Linked DNA regions of Xenopus tropicalis. The protein of the gene in region 2 binds, or shares a complex with, the protein of the main gene of each other region. Links are inferred from orthologs where the notes say so. Each region holds a gene or a part of one and is shown on either strand. Other genes may lie near its edges. The genes, in order: mettl14, rbm15b, cbll1, virma and zc3h13.

Region 1 (4,209 bases), on a different chromosome or scaffold from region 2:
ATCAATTAGCTTATTATGATTAATAGATATTGCTCGGATGCTTAAATCACATACTGCTTGACAAATATAACAATTTGTGATTTCACACTTTTCTACAGGTTGAATATCCTAAGCTAAAGAGCTTTTTGTAAGGCTGTTGCCTTAAAATTTGGTATTTTTCTGCCAATACTCAATGTAGACAATACAAGTAAATTGTGGCATTTTCTATGATGTAAGCAGTATTCAAAAACTTTGTGCCGTAATGTAGGTCACCATTATAGCCTCCTACACACTAAGGGCCCCCTTATAAAATCAATATAAAGTTATTTATATACTGTAAGTGGGCACACTAGCCTCACACACTTGCACCAAAGTTGTGGAAAGAACAGCTTGGCCAGCTGTAGAAGGTTACTGTGATCTGTAACTGCAATAGGGAAGGGGTGCTATAGTAAAGCCGTGTGTGCGTGTAAAACATTCTGTTCTTGTCCAAAAATATATTCTAAAAGAAACAGCTCAGTATAAATATGAAACAAGGTCAAATGGATAGACTGCACAAAATAAAAAAAAATATTTCTAATTTACAGAAATGTAATCTATAAAGACTGGAGTGAGTAGATGTCTAACATAATGGCCAAAACACTACTTCCTGCTTTCAGCTCTATAACCTCAGTTAGTCAGCGACTTTATGGGGGACCACATGGGACATACCTGTTCAGTTAGTTTGTGAGCACGGAGGTCAAATTCAAACTAACTGAACAGATATGTCCCATATGCAACCCCCCCCCCCCCCCCAACTTAATAAGTCACTGATTGGTTAGTGACTCCAAAGTGCGAAGGCACATGGGGAGATTAGTCGCCGCGACTTTTAATTAACTCAGCTGCTGCGAGTAATCGCAGCAACTTTCCGCCCATGGAATACAATTGCGACGCCGCAACAAATTGTGCACGCAATTTCGTTGCGCAGATTAGTCGCGTGACTTTTCAAAAAGTTGCACCCACTAATTGCCCCCGTGTGTCTTCGCCCTAATAGCTTAGAGAGCTGTAAAGGAGGAAGTAGGAATCTGGCTATTATGTTAGACATCTGACCACTCCAGCCTTTATAGATTACATTTTTGCCTAACTATATTGAAAACATTTTTTATTTTGCGCAGTCTATCTATTTAACCCAGTTTCATTTCTATACTGAACTGTTCCTTTAAAGTGGTAAAATTTTGAGTATACTGTTTAAAGTGCAAGGTGAGTGAAATTATCTCCACTGCTTATATTGAAAGCATTGCCCACAGACAGCTTTATAGATAAAGTAAAAAAAAAATGCTTTACCTTACATTCCTCAATCACCTCTTCATCTGCTTCCCCTTCTTCAGGCATTTTGCGTTTGGAAACTGTTGCTGATGTGTCATATGAAGCACTTAAACACAAAATAGAATTAAATAAATATAAAATCAGAATTATGGACATCAGCCCTCATTTAGTGTACAAAGTTATGGGGCCATTTATAAAATGAACACAAAGGTTTTGTTTACAATGCTATCGTATGACTTCAGTAGGCACACATGGCTTTCTGTAGTATGATTTCTCCCAGTATCACATGACCTATATACTAAGGAAGAATTCTGAGATAATGATCTTTTTGCCAATTACTTAAGAAAAAAAACAGCTATCAAATGGTATATAGGGCACTTTATCTACTAGCGTCTAATAACTGGCAGAGAAACCCAAAAATGACCCCTGTAGATCCCTACTTTAACCCGACAGATGTTACCATGGTTTTTGGTCCAAAACATGTGTTGAAACATTTTCAGTCTAATAACTGCCTGTATTTGCAGTGTCAGACAATATCCATTAGTGTTAATAGGGTAAAAAGCATGGCTAGTTCACTACTGGCTGAAATACCAGTGAAGAAACCACCTTGTGTGCCAATAGCCTAAAACTCATTGGACAGAAGGGCCTCGTCATTATTTGTGATTCTTCTGTGTTCAGCATCATAAATGCAAAGAAATGTTGCAGATTCCTTTCTATAATAATCAATGAGAATTGTATGCGTATATGAATCTGGCACTTTCGACACAATTACCTTCTTTAAAAAGAGGCTCTCTTCCCTCCTTACTGAATATACAGATAACAATTTGTAACTGTTAAGTGCACTTGCAGAAAGCTAGGGAAGAAGCAGAAAACACATGCAAACAATCATGCATCTAGATTTACCGGCTAGTTTCTCTTGTTTCAGCGATTTCCCTTTGCTCATCCTTGCTGTTAAGCACAGCTCCAATACTGTCAGCACTTTCAGCTCCCAGCTGTAACAGAAAAAATCAGGTTTATTCTTAGTTCAGCCATATTTTTTCTGTAGATTCATTAAAAATATTGCTCAACGATCAATAGTTCCCCAGTCACATATCTAACATTTGGTCCGAGTATATGTAAAGAAATGTTTAACTCCTTCAGTCAGTAAGAAGTTGTGCAGCAAGTAAACCTTATTTGTAAGGGTCCTCTGCTGGTTTCTCTTTAATAGGCACGTGTAGCTATTCCAAATGACACACATAGTAATTTGTTGTTTGCCGGGGATCACTTCTCCCCAAGTGACAAAGTGTCACCAAAAGAATAGGGATCACTGAACCTTAAAAATCTAATTTTTTCTTATTTGAATAAACTCACCAAAAAAATTAAATGTGTACCTATATAAAAAAACAATCATAAATAAACCATGAAAATTTGAAATTAAGAAAATAATTTACATTTTGCTTGCACAATTCCCTTTGACTTCTACATGAACTCGCAAGCTTTACATTGCCCAAAATGTTTGTCTGTGTAAGTAAACTGTTACGTATTGTATTTGTATCCCTGTAAATCATTGCAGGAGCTAACGGTGCTGTATAAATGATAATAACAATATTTCAATAAGGAACCTTAGAAGCTGATGATGGTGTAGCTGTCTCTATTCTTTAACAGAGTTTAACCCTTTCACTGCCAGCCGTTTTGGACCAAAGTGGAACTTCTACTGCCAGACAGTTTTTGAACATTTTGCACTGTTTCACTTTAGGGGCTTTTCCTTGGGGGGACTTTTAGTTTACCCAGGAAAACGATATATTGTTTTTTTCAGGACAACCTAAGCTTTCAAAATATGGTGGAATTTTTGTGTAATTACAATTCTGTAACAAGATATAGGCTTCTAGATATCTAAAAAATGAAAAAAAATTATATTTTCCATAATATAAACACATACATCAGAAACAAAAAATATTTTATGCACAAAAATACAACTGATTTGGAAAGTCCCATGTCTCCTGAACATGCCAATACCAAATATATATAGTTTTATGGAGATTTCTCACTTGTATAGGTCAAAAACTCCCAGCAGTACACTACCAAATTTCCAAAGCACTGCTCCATAAAGCTGCATACTTTAGATTTCAAGGTCACAAATTCCACTAACATAAGGTTTATCCAAGAAAATTATACATTTTTAGAAAGAACAGATTCTGTGGAATCCAGAATAGGCACAACTGTCTGTCTACTCCAAACTATCAAGTCACAATGCTTTCCTAAAGTTATTGGTTTTTATCAAAATTTGTGAAATGTATTAAAAATTGCTTCAAAGCTTCCTGTCTATAGTATCTTATCTCCTACAGGTCATAAAGTAACCAGATAAAACACCCTAAATATGAACGCCAGGGGTCCACTGAACAGTTTGATGCCCAATTTGTATAGGTTTACTTAAGTATGTGGCATGTAGGGGCCCCAATGTGAACATACCCCCATGTGATCTATCATTTTTGTCATTCCAGCTTCTGCAAAATCAACACATTTACATCATATTGTGTGGGATAAAGCTACAAAAAAATACGCTTACCCCAGAAAGCCATATATTTTTGGAAAGTACACATTCCCCCGAATCTAAAATGGGTACCTATGTGTTTCTACTCCAAAGTACCAAGCCGCAAAGCATTTCTAAAGTTAGCAATTTTGATGACAATTCCAAAAATCCCCTCAGAGCTTCCACTTTGCAGCATCTTATCTCCCATATAGCATTAGGTACCAACATAAAACACCCTAAATTTGAACACCAGAGGTCCACTGAACAGTATGATGCCCAATATGTATAGGTTTACCTAAGTATGTGGCATGTAGGGGCCCCAATGTGAACATATACCATATGATCTGCCATTTTTGTCATTCCAGCTTCTGCAAAATCAACACATTTACATCATATTGTGTGGGATAAAGCTACAAAAA
Region 2 (4,951 bases):
AGAGAAACTGTGCACTTTGCTCATGCTTTTAGGAGGGTCTTTGATGGTCTCCCATAAGCCTTCATGAGAATAGTTTTGTGCTTAAGCTTTTCCTCGAGAGCTCATTGTCATTTGGGGTTGTTCCACTCTAGTTTCTTCTGATCACAAGACTCTTTAATTTCTGATTCGTCCTCCTTGTTTGGTGACCTACCATAAATGGACATTTCCCTTTTTATTACTGTCTTTAAAGCCAGACTCTGCCCAGTAATCCAGAACTTTACTGTATGGTCTGCAGCAGGTTTGTGCTAATTTGGAACAATATGGGCTTATAGACCAATGTTGCCTCTATGTAAAGGTAAAATAACTCTTCTGTTTGTAGTAGACAGTTTTTCCCTTGAAGAAACTCTTCTTCTTCTCCAAACTGGCTAAGGTCCTCATCAAAATATCTAGGGCAGCCACATGACTTGTTCAGAGGGTTCAGATTTGGTTTGGCCAAACAATTGGCAGTTGACAGTTCTGTCTATCCACTGCTACTGTAAAATCTGCCTTGTTCTACAACCATTATCCGCCTGCTGACCTATCCCTCGCCTACACAATCCAGTTCACTGCTCAGAACCTGCTCTGTTGGTCTTCTATGCAATCCAGCCACTTTTGGGAGGCTCCCCTTTCAATAAGCCTTCATTTTTACTTTTTTATAGTTTTTGAATTGCCTTCTTCTTCTGAATATTTACAGCTTTCAAATGGAGGTCACTGGCCCCATCTATAAAACAAATGCTCCGTAAATCCACAAATGTATTATTATTGCTACTTTTTATTATCAATCTTTCTATTCAGGCCCTTTGCCTATTTGTTTTCGTCTCTCATTCAAATCAATGCATGGTTGCTAGGGAAATTTGGGCCCTGGCAACCAGATTGCTCAAATTGCAAACTGGAAAGCTGCTAAATGAGAAGCTAAATGATTTAAAAACCACAAATAATAAAAAATGAAGGCCAATTGCAAATTGTCTCAGAATATCACTCTCTACACCATACTAAAAGTTATTTCAAAGTAAACTATCCCTTTAGGCTGATGCCACACGTGGCGTAGGGCTGACTTTTTTGGCAAGAGGAAAAACGCTTGCCGAAAATTCAGCCCTACACCTGCTACTTGTGCCTGCACCCGAATGAATGGAATACGCTCGGGTGCAGGCACATGTAGCCGATATACGCATGAAAACGCGAGAGAATGCAAAGTCTCACGTTTTCATTGGCTACATGTGCCTGCCCCCGAGCGTATTCCATTCATTCGGGTGCAGGCACAAGTAGCAGGCGTAGGGCTGAATTTTCGGCAAGCGGAAAAAATCAGCCCTACGCCACGTGTGGCATCAGCCTTAACGTGTGATGAATTATAACAAGGGCTTTTAGGAAGAATCCCTGCAGCCCAGAGACAAAACTTCAAAGTGAAAAGATGCACAACTACCCTACCATTCCTTATTGGTTATTATCTCTTCATGCTCCCACTACAAGCAGGTATGTACCCCTCCTGCCTACACAAAGCCATGTTGTACCTGCCCAGCACCCAACCTCCCATGTTACACCTACAGCCCCAGCATGATGGGGAATGATCACACAGCAGGGTGTTTCTTATTGGATAAAGTTTTATTGTTTATGTATTTGTTTATACCTTTCAATATTCTTCTTTCATTTTGACTTCCAAACGCCCCTGGTTGCAAGGCCAAGTAACCCATAGCAACCAGATTGTCTTAGCACTTCCTGTCAACAACGTAATAATTCTTAATTTTAAGTTTCCTCACCGTTTACTCAGCTAGCAGGTTACAGAGCCATTATTACACATTATAGTATCACCCTATTTACCCCTGACTATCCCAGTCAAGACGTTGGAGAGACTCTTCTGACGGCGGCCATGGCCTTTCTGCCCCCACTTGCCCCCCACTTGCCCTTGCTGCAGGGAACCTTTGTGATGCATTTAGAAGTGACAGTCTCTGTTAGTCAGAAGTGACAGGCGCTTTGGGGGCCCGCCGGCGGCCCATGTGACCCTCCGCGCCACACCCTTGCTTGCGTCACCGCTCCCGGCGCCCCCTGATGACATCACTCTCCCTCCCCACTCATTGTGGAAGATGGCGGCTGCACAGTAAGCGCGCCTCCCCCGCGTGTGGTGACGGAGCGGCGAGCAGCCAGCAGCGGGACGTGAGCATGAAGCGACAGAGCGAACGCGGGGAGCAGAGCCCCGGCCGCGCCAAGAGAGCCAGAGAGAGGCGGGAGGAGGCCGGAGGGGCTCACCATAAAAGTTCGGGAAGGCGGGAGAGGCCTAACCAGGCCGGGGCCTCCTCCTCTTCGTCTTCTTCCTCCTCCCGCCGGCCCAGAGATCCGCCGCCCCGGCCCCTTCTACTGACCGCTCCGGCCGAGGCCCCGGGCCTGGAGTACAAGACGCTGCTGATCAGTAACCTGGGCTCGGCGCTGCCCGACCCGCTGCTGGAGGATTGGCTCTTCCGGCACTTCCAGCGCTTCGGAGACATCAGTGTGAAGCTGTCACACACCCCGGAGCTCGGCCGGGTCGCCTACATCAACTTCCGCAGGCCGGCAGAGGCTCGCCAGGCCCGACACGCCAAGGTACGGCCGGTGCTGTACGATCGGCAGCTGCGTGTGGAGCCGGTATTCACTCAGCAACCGACCCGCCGGCCTGAGCCTTCCCCCCTCTCCCTCACCTCTCTGCCCAGCTACCCCCGATCCACTTCCCCCAGGCACCTGCTCCTGCCCTCCTCTCTCACCTCTACAGCGGCCTCTGGGGATGGCTACTACCCACTCTATGAGGAGAGAGTCCGGGGGGCCACCTACGGTATGAGCAGCACCAGTACGGCCGACGATGAGCAGCTGGCCCCAGAGGATGACCACCGAGCCACCCGCAATCTCTTCATTGGCAACTTAGACCACATGGTGTCGGAGGTGGATTTACGGAGGGCATTCGATAAATACGGCCCCATAGAGGAAGTGGTGATCAAGCGCCCGGGGAGGGGCCAAGGAGCGGCGTACGCCTTCCTCAGGTTCCAAAACCTGGACATGGCCCATCGGGCAAAGCTTGCAATGAGCGGGCGCTTGTTGGGGCGCAATGCAATGAAAATTGGCTATGGGAAACCCAACCCGAGCACACGACTATGGGTGGGGGGGCTGGGCCCCAACACCTCTCTCGCAGCGCTAGCTCGGGAGTTTGACCGCTTTGGGAGTATCCGTACAGTGGATTATGTCAAAGGAGACAGTTTTGCATACATCCAGTATGAAAGCTTAGATGCCGCCCAGGCGGCTTGTACGCAGATGAGGGGCTTTGCACTGGGAGACCGTAGGCTTCGGGTAGACTTTGCCACTGTGTCGCCGGACGAGGCTGCTGCAGCTGCATCTCGCTATGCTCCTCTTCAGACAACTCCATACCCTCTGCCTCTGCCCTATGAGTTGTTGCAACCTGAAGCTTATAGCAGGCATCGTACTGCTCTGGACCCAGATCTCAGAGTGAGAGATAGGACCCCTCCGCATCTTCTATACTCCGATCGCGAGAGACCGTTTGTGGAAGCCGGCTGGGTAAATTCTGAGCGGCGCAGCTCAGGCCAAGGTGCACGGAGCAGAAGTGGGGACCGTGGGGGTGGAGGTGGTGGGGGCAGCAGTTCAAAAACACGGGAGGAAAGAAGGCGACGACGCAGCTTGTCTAGCGACAGAGTTCGGAGTAGAGCCGAGAGGAGCCCAGATCGTCAAAGGAGGGAGCCTCCGGAAAGAGACCCTAGTACTCCTCCATCCCCGCAACACAATCACAGACCTTCATCCCAGGACAAGCCCCGGCCCCCAACCCCTGACCCGCCCCAGCCCCGCAGGAATCACCATCCTAGGCCTCCTGAGCCACCTGCTGAGCGGCAATCCCCTGGAGTGGAGAAGGGACGGACGCTGCCACCTGTGTGGTGTGGGCATTTGGTACTTAAAAACAGCTGTTTTCCAACCTACCTTCATTTCTTAGAGGGTGACCGTGATGTGCCAGGTGCCCTACTCAAGGACCGTTCTTCTACAAGTGGAGGCAGCCTGGCACAACTTAAGATTGCCCAGCGACTCCGGCTTGACCAGCCTAAGCTTGAGGAGGTCACCCGTAAAGTGAGACAGGGCACTGCCGGAGGCTATGCTGTACTTCTTGCCACACAAGCCCCACAAAATGAGGGGGCAATACCTGGGGAACCTGGCTTACAGCGCCGCCTTCTCAGGAACCTGGTCTCCTACCTAAAACAGAAACAGGCGGCTGGAGTTATCAGCCTACCAGTGGGAGGGAGCAACAAGGGCAGGGACCCCAGCGGCATGTTGTATGCATTCCCTCCATGTGACTTCCACCAGCTGTACCAGCAAAGTGCTCAGCGCCTTGTGGGCAAGCTAGAAGAGAACATGATTATTGTGTTGGTGAAAGACAGCGCCTAATCCAGAAGTCACTGTGCCCAATGGTGCCCTGTTAGACTGTCCTGTGCCTACACTGTCCTCTCTCTGTTATGGATTTCTGAATTGATGGGGGCGGGCAACCAAAAATATGGGGGAGTTCAAGTTAGGACTGAACTGAGTGGAATAAATCATGTATCACTTTAGTTGTGTAAAAGGTTCTGCAACCTAATTTACAAAGTGTTTTCTAACCCTGTTAGCTGTCGGTGTTCCAATGCACGGCAATGGCTATTGTCACAGGTATATAAGGCAGTCAGAAGTGAGGAATCATGGGAAGGTACCACCACCCCGCTCACTGTAGTCTCTCCTCCACTTAGGGCCCCCTTTTCTAGTCAAATTCCAACAGTAAACTTGCTGCTGGACAGATCCATTTTCCTTTTGTGTGCGCGTGTGTGTTATTTTTACATCCTGCCCCTTAGTGTATTCTGCTCCCTAGCTCCGTAATCGAGCACCTTAGAAAAGCTTTGTGTTTTTGGCTAGTTCATAGAGTTTGTCACATTGGGGATACTAGTTC
Region 3 (4,209 bases), on a different chromosome or scaffold from region 2:
TACAACTCAAGGAAAACAACTACTACTGTACACATATACTTACATTTATATTACATTGGGTGTAACATATCATTAAAATGAGACACTTGCTAGGAAATGCAGAAGTTATAATCTTAAGATGGCGGTTTGTCAAAATCTAAAAAAACACAAATCTGACTGTATGATTAAAGTCAAAATTTTCAGAACATGTAGTTCAACTGAAATTGTGTTTTTTGCTTACAACACCCCCAAAAAGGGAAAGCCACAACTGAAGAGACTGTATACACATTACCATAAACCTGCAGCTGAAGCAAAAGATTACATCTAGCAAGTTCAGCATAAGTATTTCATTGATAATACGGCCTGTATCTGGCCTGATCTGGATGATGAGGTCCTGGAATAGGGGCTTGAGAAGGAGGCCCTTGCATTCGGGGGGGTGGCGGTGGTCCTCTTGGAGCAGGCCACATCCCAGGGCTCATTCCCCCAGGTTGTGTGAAGGGAGGGCTTAGAGTTCCTTGATCTTCATTGAACTGAGGCAAAGAACTAGGATTATAATGATGAGGAGGAGGAGCATTAACTGGTGGACCACCATGTTGTGGTGGCGGAGGTCCTGGAGGAGGATGATTCATGTATGGTGGGATTTGAGCAATTATATGTCCCGGTGGGGGTGTTATTGGTGGTGGAGCAGTTGTCATTGGTGGTGGAGGACCTTGGCTGTAAACCATGTGAGGTGTCCCAGCTGCCTGAGGAGGGTGTTGCATTGGATGACTGATTGGAGGGGGTGGTGGAGGGGGTGGAGCATAGTGCTGCTGTGGAGGCATTATATGGTGAGGATGAGCCACCACTGGTTGGCCTGGATACTCTGGATGATGTAGAGTAGGACCAGGTGCCTGAGGAGTTTCTCTGGCACCAGAATTGGAATCATCCTGAATAGGCACTGTGATTAAGTTGCTATGCTGTCTAGTAGATATCCTGAAAGCATCCTGATTAACAGAGCGGGGTGGAGGCGGGGCTAAGGAAATTTCTGCTGGAGAGGGCCGAATATCATCATGTTGTTGACTGAAATGCTCATGAGGAACATGTTGCATTGGGGGAGGTGGCATCAATATATGTTGTTTTGGAGGCATATGACTTAGATGATGCTTATCTGGGGGCATTATAAAGCGATCTGGGATTTCTGCTGGGGGTGGGGCCAAAGGAGGATGGATTGGCTCAGGCTGAGGTCGGGCAGTTGGCTTGGTAGCTCTCATGTGACGGTGGTTAATGTGTGCCTGCAGATCTCTTTGAGATAAATATGTTCTCTTGCAACCTTGCACAATGCTACACATGAAGAGAGAGCCACGTGCACACTGCTCAATGCGTTGAACGGGATCATTGCAACTGAAAAGGAAAAAAAAAAAAACAGAAGTTTCTTAATGCTGCTTGGAAACATACTAATATTCACATCGATGTCCTATTTGAGACATTTTCTTAATGAATGAAAATCTTCCTCAAATTAATTTAACGTAAGATGAAAAAAATATTCCAACCTAGTATGAAAATTTCCTAGTTTTAAAAGTAAAGAGGCATATTTACTACAATTAAAATTGGGGATTTCTAAATGAAACCCCAGCAAATTAAACTTTATCAGAGTTATTTAAATTATTTGAAAGACAAAGCCACCAAAACCTTCAAATTATCGCCAGTTGGGGCTTATAATAAATTACAATTGCATATGCAATGTCATAATTTACCAGAACTTTAAATAATGCATATATAATTGCATATGCTGCCTCAAAAAGATAGGCATTGACGCAATACTCTAAAAACAGTCATGCAGTTACATCACATCATAATTTAATGGCTGCAAGAGTTTTAACGGGCAAAACCATCTAGAAACATTTAAGACTACAATATTGATAGAAGCTAAATGATTTGCCTTTAGAAACCTACCAAATGATGGAACATTAAAATAACTTAGGTTGCCAAGTTCTTAAGTAGCCCCCAGCAGTTCCAAAAAAAAAAAAAAACCCATCTTCAAAAAACATACCAGCCTGGAGCACAGTCCTCCAAGAATTGGAGGATCTACGAGATTTAAAGAAAATTGCAACTCGGCACTTGGTAAGTAGTGCCCAAGGCTGTGCTTTTTTTTTTTTGAAGAAGAAGAAGTGCCAGTCAGGGTAGCAGGTAAGCAACTGGAATCACTATGGGTGATGATGCAAACTGTATAAAGTTAATGGGCAGGGTCTCTTGCTCCTATTTACCAACATCTTGTGTCCGTTGCCAGTACTCCTTTGAATCTGTTGGAACTATATGCTTGAGCAGTAAAGTAAAAATCTTTAACTCAACTACTCATACTAAAAGGTCCAGCATAGCCAAAGGCATCGTTAGCACGAGACTTAGGCATTTTACATTTTAGGCATACCTGTGCAAGTGTGAAAGATGGGCAATCATATCCATAAGTGCTCAAGCTAGCAGAAGAAAGTTGATATCTGATGCACCACATTTCCAGCATGCATGCTGTATCTGCAGAATAACTATTTTTCAAACCACACTGTTGCCTTACGGTATCTTAGTGCTTATCAGATGTAGGAAATAGTCTCAGTCTGCATCAAGTTGAATCAGACCTAGTCATTTACATAGCATGATAAACAGCTACACTAAATCACAAAAGTGTATCCCTGTGGGTGAATAAACTGTTTAGGTTGCTAAGCCATAATCTGTCTCTGTTTAGCTACAGAAAAAAAGTAGTTAATTGAATGGATACAGAAACATACATTGTTAAACATCAGGTAAATTCTGAGGAAAACTCAAGTTTTTTAAATTCCTATTCCAGCTTTGATTTTATCAGTAAAGCCGTTCCAGATCAGTAAAAAAAACTAATTGCAAAATTTACCTAATGTTGGGCTGCATGTTTTATATCTTTTAAGTGTCAACATGCGGAAGGATGTGCATCAACTACGCTAATACTGATCGATATAAGAAATAAAGACAGCCCTTTTCATTAAGAGCTCACAATTGCAAAGATTTGAGCTTGCATCTATTTCAGCATCACTTTCTTTTTCTCATTTAACAGAATACAACCTTGAACCTTTAGTTATTGCCAAAGCACCAAACCTATCCCAACAATTATTAAAAGTAAAATCGCAATAACAAAATGTATGGGATCTCTAATTTGTAAGGTAGAGAAAGCTCCGAACAACAGGTCATGTCTCATACACTCCATGTATAGCAAATAGTTACTTTTTTTTCCCTTTCTTTTTGCAATAAAAATGTCTTGTTCTTGATTACATCTATGATAACATTAATCCATATTAGTGGCAAAACAACCTTATTGGCTTTAATATTAAAGTTATTCTTTACGTATGGTGATCCAGTTCACAGAGCCAGAAAACCCCAGCTTTTGAGCATTCTAGAAAATAGGTACCATACTTCTTGCCCAACTAAACTATTGCAATATATCAGTTTCAGTGAACTCATATAAAGAACCAGTGCTAATCAACAATAAAAAGAGCAATCCAGAACATTGCTATTTTAAAGCTTTCAAAAGTTTTTCAGGATGAAACATGTTTTATGCATAATAAAAAACAAACTCTGCTATATTTTTAAAACAAAAAGATTCCTTGCTCATCAGGAATTAAATGTAATCACGCTCATAAAATTACAACAAAATCATCCCCACATTCTGTGTGGCAAGGCTGTTCTTAAGTAAGTTGAGGTGTTAACATCAAGAAATGTAGCTCATCAGCAAATATGCTGCAATATTTTTTTGGGGAAAAAAACATTCCTAACCATATCTTTGCAGTTACTTAAGAAATTGCTAAACTATTAGAACCTACCTCATACGCTTAAAGGTGTCAGTACTTTCTTCAACAAGTGTTCTTTTGGGAGGGGAAAAAGAGACATTACACCACAAAATAAAAAAAAAACAAAATACACATTCCATTTAGCTCCACCCTGTAAGGTATTTAAAGTGAACCAAAAAAAAATCAAAAAAAAATCACATGACTAGAATAATAAGAACATCCCTCAGCTAAAATAATATTAAAAAATAAAATAGAGAATGTAGCATTCATAAAGGAAACAGTACCCACCCTAAGTAACAAATAAAATCTGGATTCATGCATGTTTATAAATATACTTAATGTTTAACGATTGTTAATTAACTTTGTCAAAAGAGAAGCAACTACCAAATGATTATGAGCAATATATTGACTTATCCATCTTATCGTCTGCTAGGTACTTTTGAGG
Region 4 (4,209 bases), on a different chromosome or scaffold from region 2:
GCACAGTCTGGAATTAGCAGAGTATTCTTGCAGGGTCTAGCTAGTGTAGAAACTATTCATGCTTTTCTTGTATGTATTCCAAAAATAATTCTTCCAGAAAAAAAATAAAAAAAAAAATAAAAAAAATAATGGTATATTTAAATTAAAATCCATAGCTATAGTAAATTTTCAACACAGGCCTATTTATTTTTTTGTTTTTTTTGTTTAATGTTGCCTCTTTTAAAAGTAACTAAATCTTAAAGTAGATGATAGATGAAGTTAGAAGTTGCTGGTCTCCTTGCCTCTCCTCATTTATAGAAAAAAGGCAGGTTCGCTTTTAAAATGTTGAATACAAAATAAGTTAATTAGCATGCTTTGACTCAGGGTTGGGCAAATCCATAGCCCTCCAGATCTTTTAAACTGCCTGTTTCCTGCTGGCTGAGAAAGTGCTGGGAACTGTAGTTTAACTGAATGGTCGCTAGTTTCTTCTCCCTGGTGTTAACCCTTTGTATTTGTAAGATATAGCCCTATCACTTGTTCTTTTCCATATGAGATTTAGTTCCCCAAATCTGCGGCAAACAGTGGTAAGATGAAATTGTGTGTACAAACTTATGCCGAGGTCCCACCAGGAGATTTGTTGTCGGGCTTTTTTTCGTAGCCACGACTTATCTCTAAAAGAGTAACTGTGACAAAATAAGGCTTATTAATTAAAGTAGGCACAAGTACTAGATGCAATAAAGGGCTCAAATTGTGCTATTGCATTGCTGTATAGCTACTGTGCCTATCTGCCCTCCCCTAAGTGAGCAAGGTGTAGTCTAGGTGTCCTTTTGCATCACATATCAGAGTATTTCTACGCATTTTCACCCATAGCATAGGGAGTAAGCATTTGCAACGGATTGCAGCAGGTGCAAATTCACCAGAATACGGACCATTGGGATCATTGCAAATATTTCCCAATAAGTCTCCTGGTGTGACGGTGGCTTTACATGCATTTTTCAGATATTTGTAGGAAAAGTAACACTGCTATCAGCCACTCCAGTAAAATATATATTATTTAATAAGAAGCTGCCTGTCCAATCCACTTTGAATATTGGGCTAAAACTATAGATCTTGTTCTATAGTATTTAAACTAAATACCACCGTACTGCTCCTTTTTATTAGATGTGTGCAAGTCGCTACACATTGGGCCTTCTGCTAATGAGTGGGTTGCATTTGGTCTGCTTCTTTCAGTTGAAGAAGACAAAGATGATCAATACAATGGTAGCCCCCCAAGGCCGCAGCCGAGAGGGCCCAGAACTCCCCCTGGCCCTCCGCCACCAGACGATGATGACGAGGATGAGCCTATGCCAGCCTCGGGTAAATGTACAGTTTGGTGATTGATGAAACCTTTGTTTACCTCATCTGCTGTAAATCCGCAGGCTTTATCTAATGCTGTGTGGTCTGTTATGACAAGAAGTCGTCCTCTTCCCCAGCATGCTTCCTGTGTATTGCTAAATGCTCTGTAGTCTGTTCTGCATATCTGCTTGTTGCTCTGCTGCTGTGGTCAGTATCACACTTTCCCAGGACACGCAGAGCTCTGGACTCGACACAAGACCCAGGACTCTGGTGCTTGTGTCTCTGAGCTGTGCTTTCCTTCTGTGTCTCTGTGTGAATAATCCAGCTTTCCTGTTTTATGGCAGTTTTATTGTAACTTCTGCATTTTTAAAGTTGAATAAGACTGTTTGTTTTTGCTTTCTAACTGCATGAGTCCTTTATAAACCATCAGGGTACTTTAACATTCTCATATTTTTTTTTTTTTTTTTTAATTTGTCACAGTGAATGCAGTACTGGATGCAATTTACACTATTTTGTTTCATTGTTTTATATATTTGGCTGTGTTGCTTGTCCACAGCATATTTGGTCAGGAGCGTTCAGCAAGTCTAGTCTGCTTTTTGCCTGATTTTTGGTGCTTAGGCTCAGACTGGGCTCTGTGTATATCCCAAGCATTTTTCCTTTATAGTAGGTGCTTGTACCTTATGAGCTGGATGAGTGTTCTATGCATGTACTAATATTTTGCTAAAGTAACACATTCTGATGGTACACTTGACCTTTACTCTTTGTAATTGTGACTATTCCTTAATTGTGGAACAATTTCCCAACTCTGCCTGTTTGATGATATATGTCCTCTTTTATCTATCTGTTAAGGTCATTAAAGGGAACCTATTCCTGTTTATAAATGGGGATTCTATTCTACCTATTATGGTTAAGAATTAAGACCTAGGATATTTTGTAATACAGGGCATTCCTCCTGTGTGACTGCATTTTTAAAGGGGTAATTCACCTTTGTTAACTTTTAGTATGTTAAAGCATGGCCAATTCTTAGCAACTTTTCAGTTGGTTTTCTTTATTTTGTATAGTTTAGTAATTGTTTGCTGCTGCCTATTGACTTTTTCCATCTTTCAAATAGGGGTCACTAACCCTTGTAGCCAAAAAACAATTGTTCTGTGAGGCTACAATTATATTGTTATTTTTACTTCTCTTTCTATTCAGGCCTCTCCTATTCATATTAGTCTCTTTCAATCCAGGGCCTGGTTTCTAGAGTAATAGAAACCATAGCAGCCATATAGGTGCTGAACTTCCAAACTGAAGTGTTGCTGCAGTCATTACATCAGTGATCCCCAGCCAGTGGCTTGTGAGCAACATTTTGCTCACCATCCCCTTTTAGTTGCATCTAGTGGCCTCAAAGTAGTTGCCCATTTTCACATTTCTGGCTTGAAGGCAAGTTTTGGAGATACAGACACAGCAGAGCCTCCTGCAGGCTAGCAGTCCACATGGAGCTGCCAAATAGCCAATCAAGGCCCCGACTTGGCACCCCTGCTTGTGTGGCTCACCAACACTTTCATTACATCTGAGTGTGGCTTACAAGTGAAAAAGGTTGGGGCTACCTGCTCTACAGAATAACTAATAGTTAATTTTAAGGTGAATAACCCCTTTAAACTATAAACAATAGAACAGCCGTTTATCTGCTACTGTTGCATCTCTATTGCAGTCTTTGGAAAATACCTAAGAATATAGGGGAATGCTGCTGCTACCCTTGTATAATGATTATACAGTGCTCTTTCTTTATACTAGCACCCTTTTTATAGCACATAATTAGTTCAAGTAAGATTTTATTAACAAATGTGCATATCATTATAATGAAATATCACTGTTAAAATGCAATTGGTAGGCAAAGTTTAAAACGGGCAGTATATTCAGGAAGCATTGTATTCAGAGAAAACTCTCTTGCTGTCTGTTAGTGAAAGTTAAACCATAACCCTATCATTACTTGGGGGTAGTTCCCATTAAGTATGTCTTGAATTGCATCACCCTTCATCATAGTCAGAAGATGTGTTCTCTATCTCCAAACCCCCTATAAATCACATGTACATAACTTGAAAGCTGCTTGTTTTTCTGACAGGCCCTTTGATTTGCCTTGTTCCTTTTCTGTGTCAGGTGGAGAGATAGAAGATGATGGATTACATAGAGAAGGATATTTTGAACCCATATCCCCTGATCGAGTTTCTGTCCACCCTGATGGCAACTATTCAGATGAAGACGATGGGGAAGATGATCCCCAGGATGAGGGAGATGAAGACGATGAGGATGAAGATGATGATGACGATATCAATGCTGAAGATGAGGAGGATGAGGAAGATGATCAGACTGGTGACAGCATAGCTGACGAAGAGGATGAAGATGATGAGGGTGATGACGAGGATTTAGAAGGTGTGTTTGAATTAGATTTTCCTGCTTATATAGTTGTTAATGTAACCATGGAAAACCCACTGTGTAATTTGCTGTACTGTAAAGAAAAAAGATTAACAAAATACCTTTATTCCATTTGGCAGATGATGGCTACGAACAAATTTCAAGTGATGAAGATGGGATTGCTGATTTTGAGCGGGAGGCATTTAAATACATAGACTATACTCCTGAGGATTTGGCATCTGTACCCACCATGGCCTATGACCCATATGACAGGGACTTGGGCCCTCTTCTATACTTCAGTTGTCCGTACAGAACTGCATTTGAGAATGAAATCTGCAGACTTCAGGAACTAGATCTAGACAAAGAAAACTCTGGGGAAAATGAAACATCTTTGAAGCTAACTGAATTACTTGAACTGTATCAAGATGACAGAGGCTCCAAGTGGGTCACTGCATTAGAAGAAGTCCCTGGTTTAATTGTGAAAGGACTGAGCTTTGGCAT
Region 5 (4,650 bases), on a different chromosome or scaffold from region 2:
TGCCCCTGTAGTTAATACGCTCTCAGACAGATACAGGGGTAACTAAGTGTCACTAACTTGCACCAAGGCTAAGATGCACAACCCCCCCCCCCCCCCCCCCCAGTATCCTGGGTGCCCCTGTAGTTAATACGCTCTCAGACAGATACAGGGGTAACTAAGTGTCACTAACTTGCACCAAGGCTAAGATGCACAACCCCCCCCCCCCCTATCCTGGGTGCCCCTGTAGTTAATACGCTCTCAGACAGATACAGGGGTAACTAAGTGTCACTAACTTGCACCAAGGCTAAGATGCACAACCCCCCCCCCCCCCCCCCCCCAGTATCCTGGGTGCCCCTGTAGTTAATACGCTCTCAGACAGATACAGGGGTAACTAAGTGTCACTAACTTGCACCAAGGCTAAGATGCACAACCCCCCCCCCCAGTATCCTGGGTGCCCCTGTAGTTAATACGCTCTCAGACAGATACAGGGGTAACTAAGTGTCACTAACTTGCACCAAGGCTAAGATGCACAACCCCCCCCCCCCCCCTATCCTGGGTGCCCCTGTAGTTAATACGCTCTCAGACAGATACAGGGGTAACTAAGTGTCACTAACTTGCACCAAGGCTAAGATGCACAACCCCCCCCCCCCCCCTATCCTGGGTGCCCCTGTAGTTAATACGCTCTCAGACAGATACAGGGGTAACTAAGTGTCACTAACTTGCACCAAGGCTAAGATGCACAACCCCCCCCCCCCCCCCAGTATCCTGGGTGCCCCTGTAGTTAATACGCTCTCAGACAGATACAGGGGTAACTAAGTGTCACTAACTTGCACCAAGGCTAAGATGCACAACCCCCCCCCCCCCTATCCTGGGTGCCCCTGTAGTTAATACGCTCTCAGACAGATACAGGGGTAACTAAGTGTCACTAACTTGCACCAAGGCTAAGATGCACAACCCCCCCCCCCCCCCAGTATCCTGGGTGCCCCTGTAGTTAATACGCTCTCAGACAGATACAGGGGTAACTAAGTGTCACTAACTTGCACCAAGGCTAAGATGCACAACCCCCCCCCCCAGTATCCTGGGTGCCCCTGTAGTTAATACGCTCTCAGACAGATACAGGGGTAACTAAGTGTCACTAACTTGCACCAAGGCTAAGATGCACAACCCCCCCCCCCCCCTATCCTGGGTGCCCCTGTAGTTAATACGCTCTCAGACAGATACAGGGGTAACTAAGTGTCACTAACTTGCACCAAGGCTAAGATGCACAACCCCCCCCCCCCCCTATCCTGGGTGCCCCTGTAGTTAATACGCTCTCAGACAGATACAGGGGTAACTAAGTGTCACTAACTTGCACCAAGGCTAAGATGCACAACCCCCCCCCCCCCCCCCAGTATCCTGGGTGCCCCTGTAGTTAATACGCTCTCAGACAGATACAGGGGTAACTAAGTGTCACTAACTTGCACCAAGGCTAAGATGCACAACCCCCCCCCCCCCCCTATCCTGGGTGCCCCTGTAGTTAATACGCTCTCAGACAGATACAGGGGTAACTAAGTGTCACTAACTTGCACCAAGGCAAAGATGCACAACCCCCCCCCCCCAGTATCCTGGGTGCCCCTGTAGTTAATACGCTCTCAGACAGATACAGGGGTAACTAAGTGTCACTAACTTGCACCAAGGCTAAGATGCACAACCCCCCCCCCCCCAGTATCCTGGGTGCCCCTGTAGTTAATACGCTCTCAGACAGATACAGGGGTAACTAAGTGTCACTAACTTGCACCAAGGCTAAGATGCACAACCCCCCCCCCCCCCCCCCCCCCCAGTATCCTGGGTGCCCCTGTAGTTAATACGCTCTCAGACAGATACAGGGGTAACTAAGTGTCACTAACTTGCACCAAGGCTAAGATGCACAACCCCCCCCCCCCCCTATCCTGGGTGCCCCTGTAGTTAATACGCTCTCAGACAGATACAGGGGTAACTAAGTGTCACTAACTTGCACCAAGGCTAAGATGCACAACCCCCCCCCCCCCCCCCCCCCCCAGTATCCTGGGTGCCCCTGTAGTTAATACGCTCTCAGACAGATACAGGGGTAACTAAGTGTCACTAACTTGCACCAAGGCTAAGATGCACAACCCCCCCCCCAGTATCCTGGGTGCCCCTGTAGTTAATACGCTCTCAGACAGATACAGGGGTAACTAAGTGTCACTAACTTGCACCAAGGCTAAGATGCACAACCCCCCCCCCCCCCCCCCCCCAGTATCCTGGGTGCCCCTGTAGTTAATACGCTCTCAGACAGATACAGGGGTAACTAAGTGTCACTAACTTGCACCAAGGCTAAGATGCACAACCCCCCCCCCCAGTATCCTGGGTGCCCCTGTAGTTAATACGCTCTCAGACAGATACAGGGGTAACTAAGTGTCACTAACTTGCACCAAGGCTAAGATGCACAACCCCCCCCCCCCTATCCTGGGTGCCCCTGTAGTTAATACGCTCTCAGACAGATACAGGGGTAACTAAGTGTCACTAACTTGCACCAAGGCAAAGATGCACAACCCCCCCCCCCCCCCCAGTATCCTGGGTGCCCCTGTAGTTAATACGCTCTCAGACAGATACAGGGGTAACAACAGTAGAACAGTATTGGGCGCTGCTCTCACCTTGTTGCCGTCTGAAGCGGCGGCGAACGCCGCTGGCTGAGGAATCCCGGGCCGTGACCGCTGTGGGTTTGGCGGCAGCTACTGGGAGCTCAGCGGCGTCTCCCAGTGCCGCGGAGTGACTGAGCGCCCGAGCACGGCTGGGTTCGCCGCCCCTCTCTGCCTTTCCGCGTAACAGCCGTAGCGGCTCCTCCTGACCCCTCTTTTTCTTCCTTCTCCTCTTTTTCTTCTTCTTCCACCACTGCGGCGGCAACCACTTCAGCTGCCGCAGCTGATCCCGGTTTCCCGGAGCGATCGTGACGCAGCGACGGCAACAAAACAGCAGGCGGGCTCGGCTCAGGCGAGCGCAGGCCGGAGATACAGCAGGACCGCCGCTACGCCTGCCGGGAAGCCCGCAAACTCAATGGAGAGCGCTCATCCAGTCAGAGTAGACACGGCCAATCAACTGCGGGCTATGGAAACGAGACGTCATAAGAAGCGACCGTGTGTCTCAAAGTAAGGTTCCATGCGGTCGCTAACAAAGTGACGTAGCTGTGCGCTGTGGGAAGTAACTAAGATGGGCGTGTTTGACTTAGGAGAACTTAGGCTGTTATAAAGCTAAAAAAAAGATTAGTCCTATGATTTATTATGCACTTTACATTCATTTTCGGTTTTAATGGTTTCCCTGTTTGTACCAGGCTTGGCTCAGCTGCTCTTGTTGAAGACCCAGAGTTTTGACCCTGTATATGCACATTCTGTATTCAGTTAACCATTGGGTTGCACTTTCTTAAGCCAAAACACTATTAACAGTTTAAAGATACATATATCTAGAGCTGTCATCAGGTTTATCAGAAGCCAGTTAAACCACCTTGTCTGTTTTTGGAGTGTTGGAGGAATTTGGAGTACCCGGAGGAAACCCACAAAAGCACAGGGAGAATATACAACAAAAAATGCAATTGTGTTCACAGATGTAACATTATGTAGGGGTTACTTGGGCAAAGGGACTTAAAATGGATGGCAAGTGCAAAGATCCAAGTGTGAAAAAACATTTGATAAATGCATAGTGCCATGAATGTGCTGCAGGAAAACAGTTCCTTCAAGTTTGATGTATGTTAGATATTGCTTGGCTACAGCCACTCACTTGCAAACTCACCGCCTTCTAGTGTATACACAAGCATGTGCTCCAGCGGCCATATCCAGACATTAGCAATCTGATAATAACATGTTGTAGTCCTGGGTATGCAGTCTTAATCAGTTTTCCACATCCAAGCCTCTTCATCCTATTTCTTATCCAGAGCCTCCTCCTGCTCAAACTACATCCTAGATCCACACAACTTACTTGCTTTGACTTCAGCTTGCTCCTTATTTGAGTGCTCCATAAATATATTTGTTTTTCTGTCCACTTTAGCATTTACTGTATCTCTTCTCTAACTTTCAGTACCTCTATACCTTTGGAACCACTGATTACTTTTGTGGGAGCACTGCAGCTATGCACATTTAAGACTAAGGACCCATGGAGAAAGGTGTCTTGTTATAGGCAGAAACGCACTCCGCATACAGATTCTCAGTGTTCCTGCAGGGTCTGAGTCATAGTGCAGTTTTGTATACACATTTTATGTTTGCTTTTTTTGCAGGATGAAACAATCCCCATGTGCACATTGCATTACCAAAGAAAGAATTGAGCAAAAAGAGGCCAAAGGGAGTGTTTCTGTGCGTTATTGAAAAACATGCTCTGCACTTGCACCCAAGACAGGAGAGAACTGAGAATTGGGGTCTAGTAGGAGAGAATGGGGTATTGTTAAAAAGGGAATAACTTAAGTTGAAGGGGTATAAGGCCAAATCATATATACCAGAAAATGAAGGATTCAGAAGGAGAATAGGACAGAAAGGAAAAGCAAAGAAGAGACCAAGAAAGAGTCATTAGAAGATAACAGGAACATTTAGAGAGAGTAGGTGAAGGTCAAATCAAGAAGACAGTGGCAAATATAAAAAAGACTAGAGGTAAGTGTGTGTTTCCTATGTACCTGAATACCTGAGTTAAGGT

Evidence for each region.
Region 1: rbm15b (region 2) and mettl14 share a complex: the UniProt entries of both Homo sapiens proteins name them as parts of the WMM complex. The link is inferred for Xenopus tropicalis from reciprocal best matches to the Homo sapiens genes RBM15B and METTL14.
Region 3: rbm15b (region 2) and cbll1 share a complex: the UniProt entries of both Homo sapiens proteins name them as parts of the WMM complex. The link is inferred for Xenopus tropicalis from reciprocal best matches to the Homo sapiens genes RBM15B and CBLL1.
Region 4: rbm15b (region 2) and virma share a complex: the UniProt entries of both Homo sapiens proteins name them as parts of the WMM complex. The link is inferred for Xenopus tropicalis from reciprocal best matches to the Homo sapiens genes RBM15B and VIRMA.
Region 5: rbm15b (region 2) and zc3h13 share a complex: the UniProt entries of both Homo sapiens proteins name them as parts of the WMM complex. The link is inferred for Xenopus tropicalis from reciprocal best matches to the Homo sapiens genes RBM15B and ZC3H13.

Annotation. Positions count from the first base shown.
Region 1 is NC_030677.2:70,530,994-70,535,202, reverse strand, and holds part of mettl14 (N6-adenosine-methyltransferase non-catalytic subunit), read right to left. Parts: intron 2,274-4,209; coding exon 2,185-2,273; intron 1,388-2,184; coding exon 1,300-1,387; intron 1-1,299. UniProt on the Homo sapiens protein: The METTL3-METTL14 heterodimer forms a N6-methyltransferase complex that methylates adenosine residues at the N(6) position of some mRNAs and regulates the circadian clock, differentiation of embryonic stem cells and cortical neurogenesis.
Region 2 is NC_030680.2:127,344,259-127,349,209, reverse strand, and holds the start of rbm15b (putative RNA-binding protein 15B), read left to right. Parts: upstream 1-1,615; 5' UTR 1,616-2,061; coding exon 2,062-4,422; 3' UTR 4,423-4,951. UniProt on the Homo sapiens protein: RNA-binding protein that acts as a key regulator of N6-methyladenosine (m6A) methylation of RNAs, thereby regulating different processes, such as alternative splicing of mRNAs and X chromosome inactivation mediated by Xist RNA.
Region 3 is NC_030679.2:76,284,091-76,288,299, forward strand, and holds part of cbll1 (E3 ubiquitin-protein ligase Hakai), read right to left. Parts: intron 3,840-4,209; coding exon 3,798-3,839; intron 1,360-3,797; coding exon 327-1,359; 3' UTR 1-326. UniProt on the Homo sapiens protein: E3 ubiquitin-protein ligase that mediates ubiquitination of several tyrosine-phosphorylated Src substrates, including CDH1, CTTN and DOK1. Targets CDH1 for endocytosis and degradation.
Region 4 is NC_030682.2:127,965,835-127,970,043, reverse strand, and holds part of virma (protein virilizer homolog), read left to right. Parts: intron 1-1,209; coding exon 1,210-1,335; intron 1,336-3,453; coding exon 3,454-3,726; intron 3,727-3,848; coding exon 3,849-4,209. UniProt on the Homo sapiens protein: Associated component of the WMM complex, a complex that mediates N6-methyladenosine (m6A) methylation of RNAs, a modification that plays a role in the efficiency of mRNA splicing and RNA processing.
Region 5 is NC_030678.2:134,321,627-134,326,276, forward strand, and holds the start of zc3h13 (zinc finger CCCH domain-containing protein 13), read right to left. Parts: upstream 3,175-4,650; 5' UTR 2,631-3,174; intron 1-2,630. UniProt on the Homo sapiens protein: Associated component of the WMM complex, a complex that mediates N6-methyladenosine (m6A) methylation of RNAs, a modification that plays a role in the efficiency of mRNA splicing and RNA processing.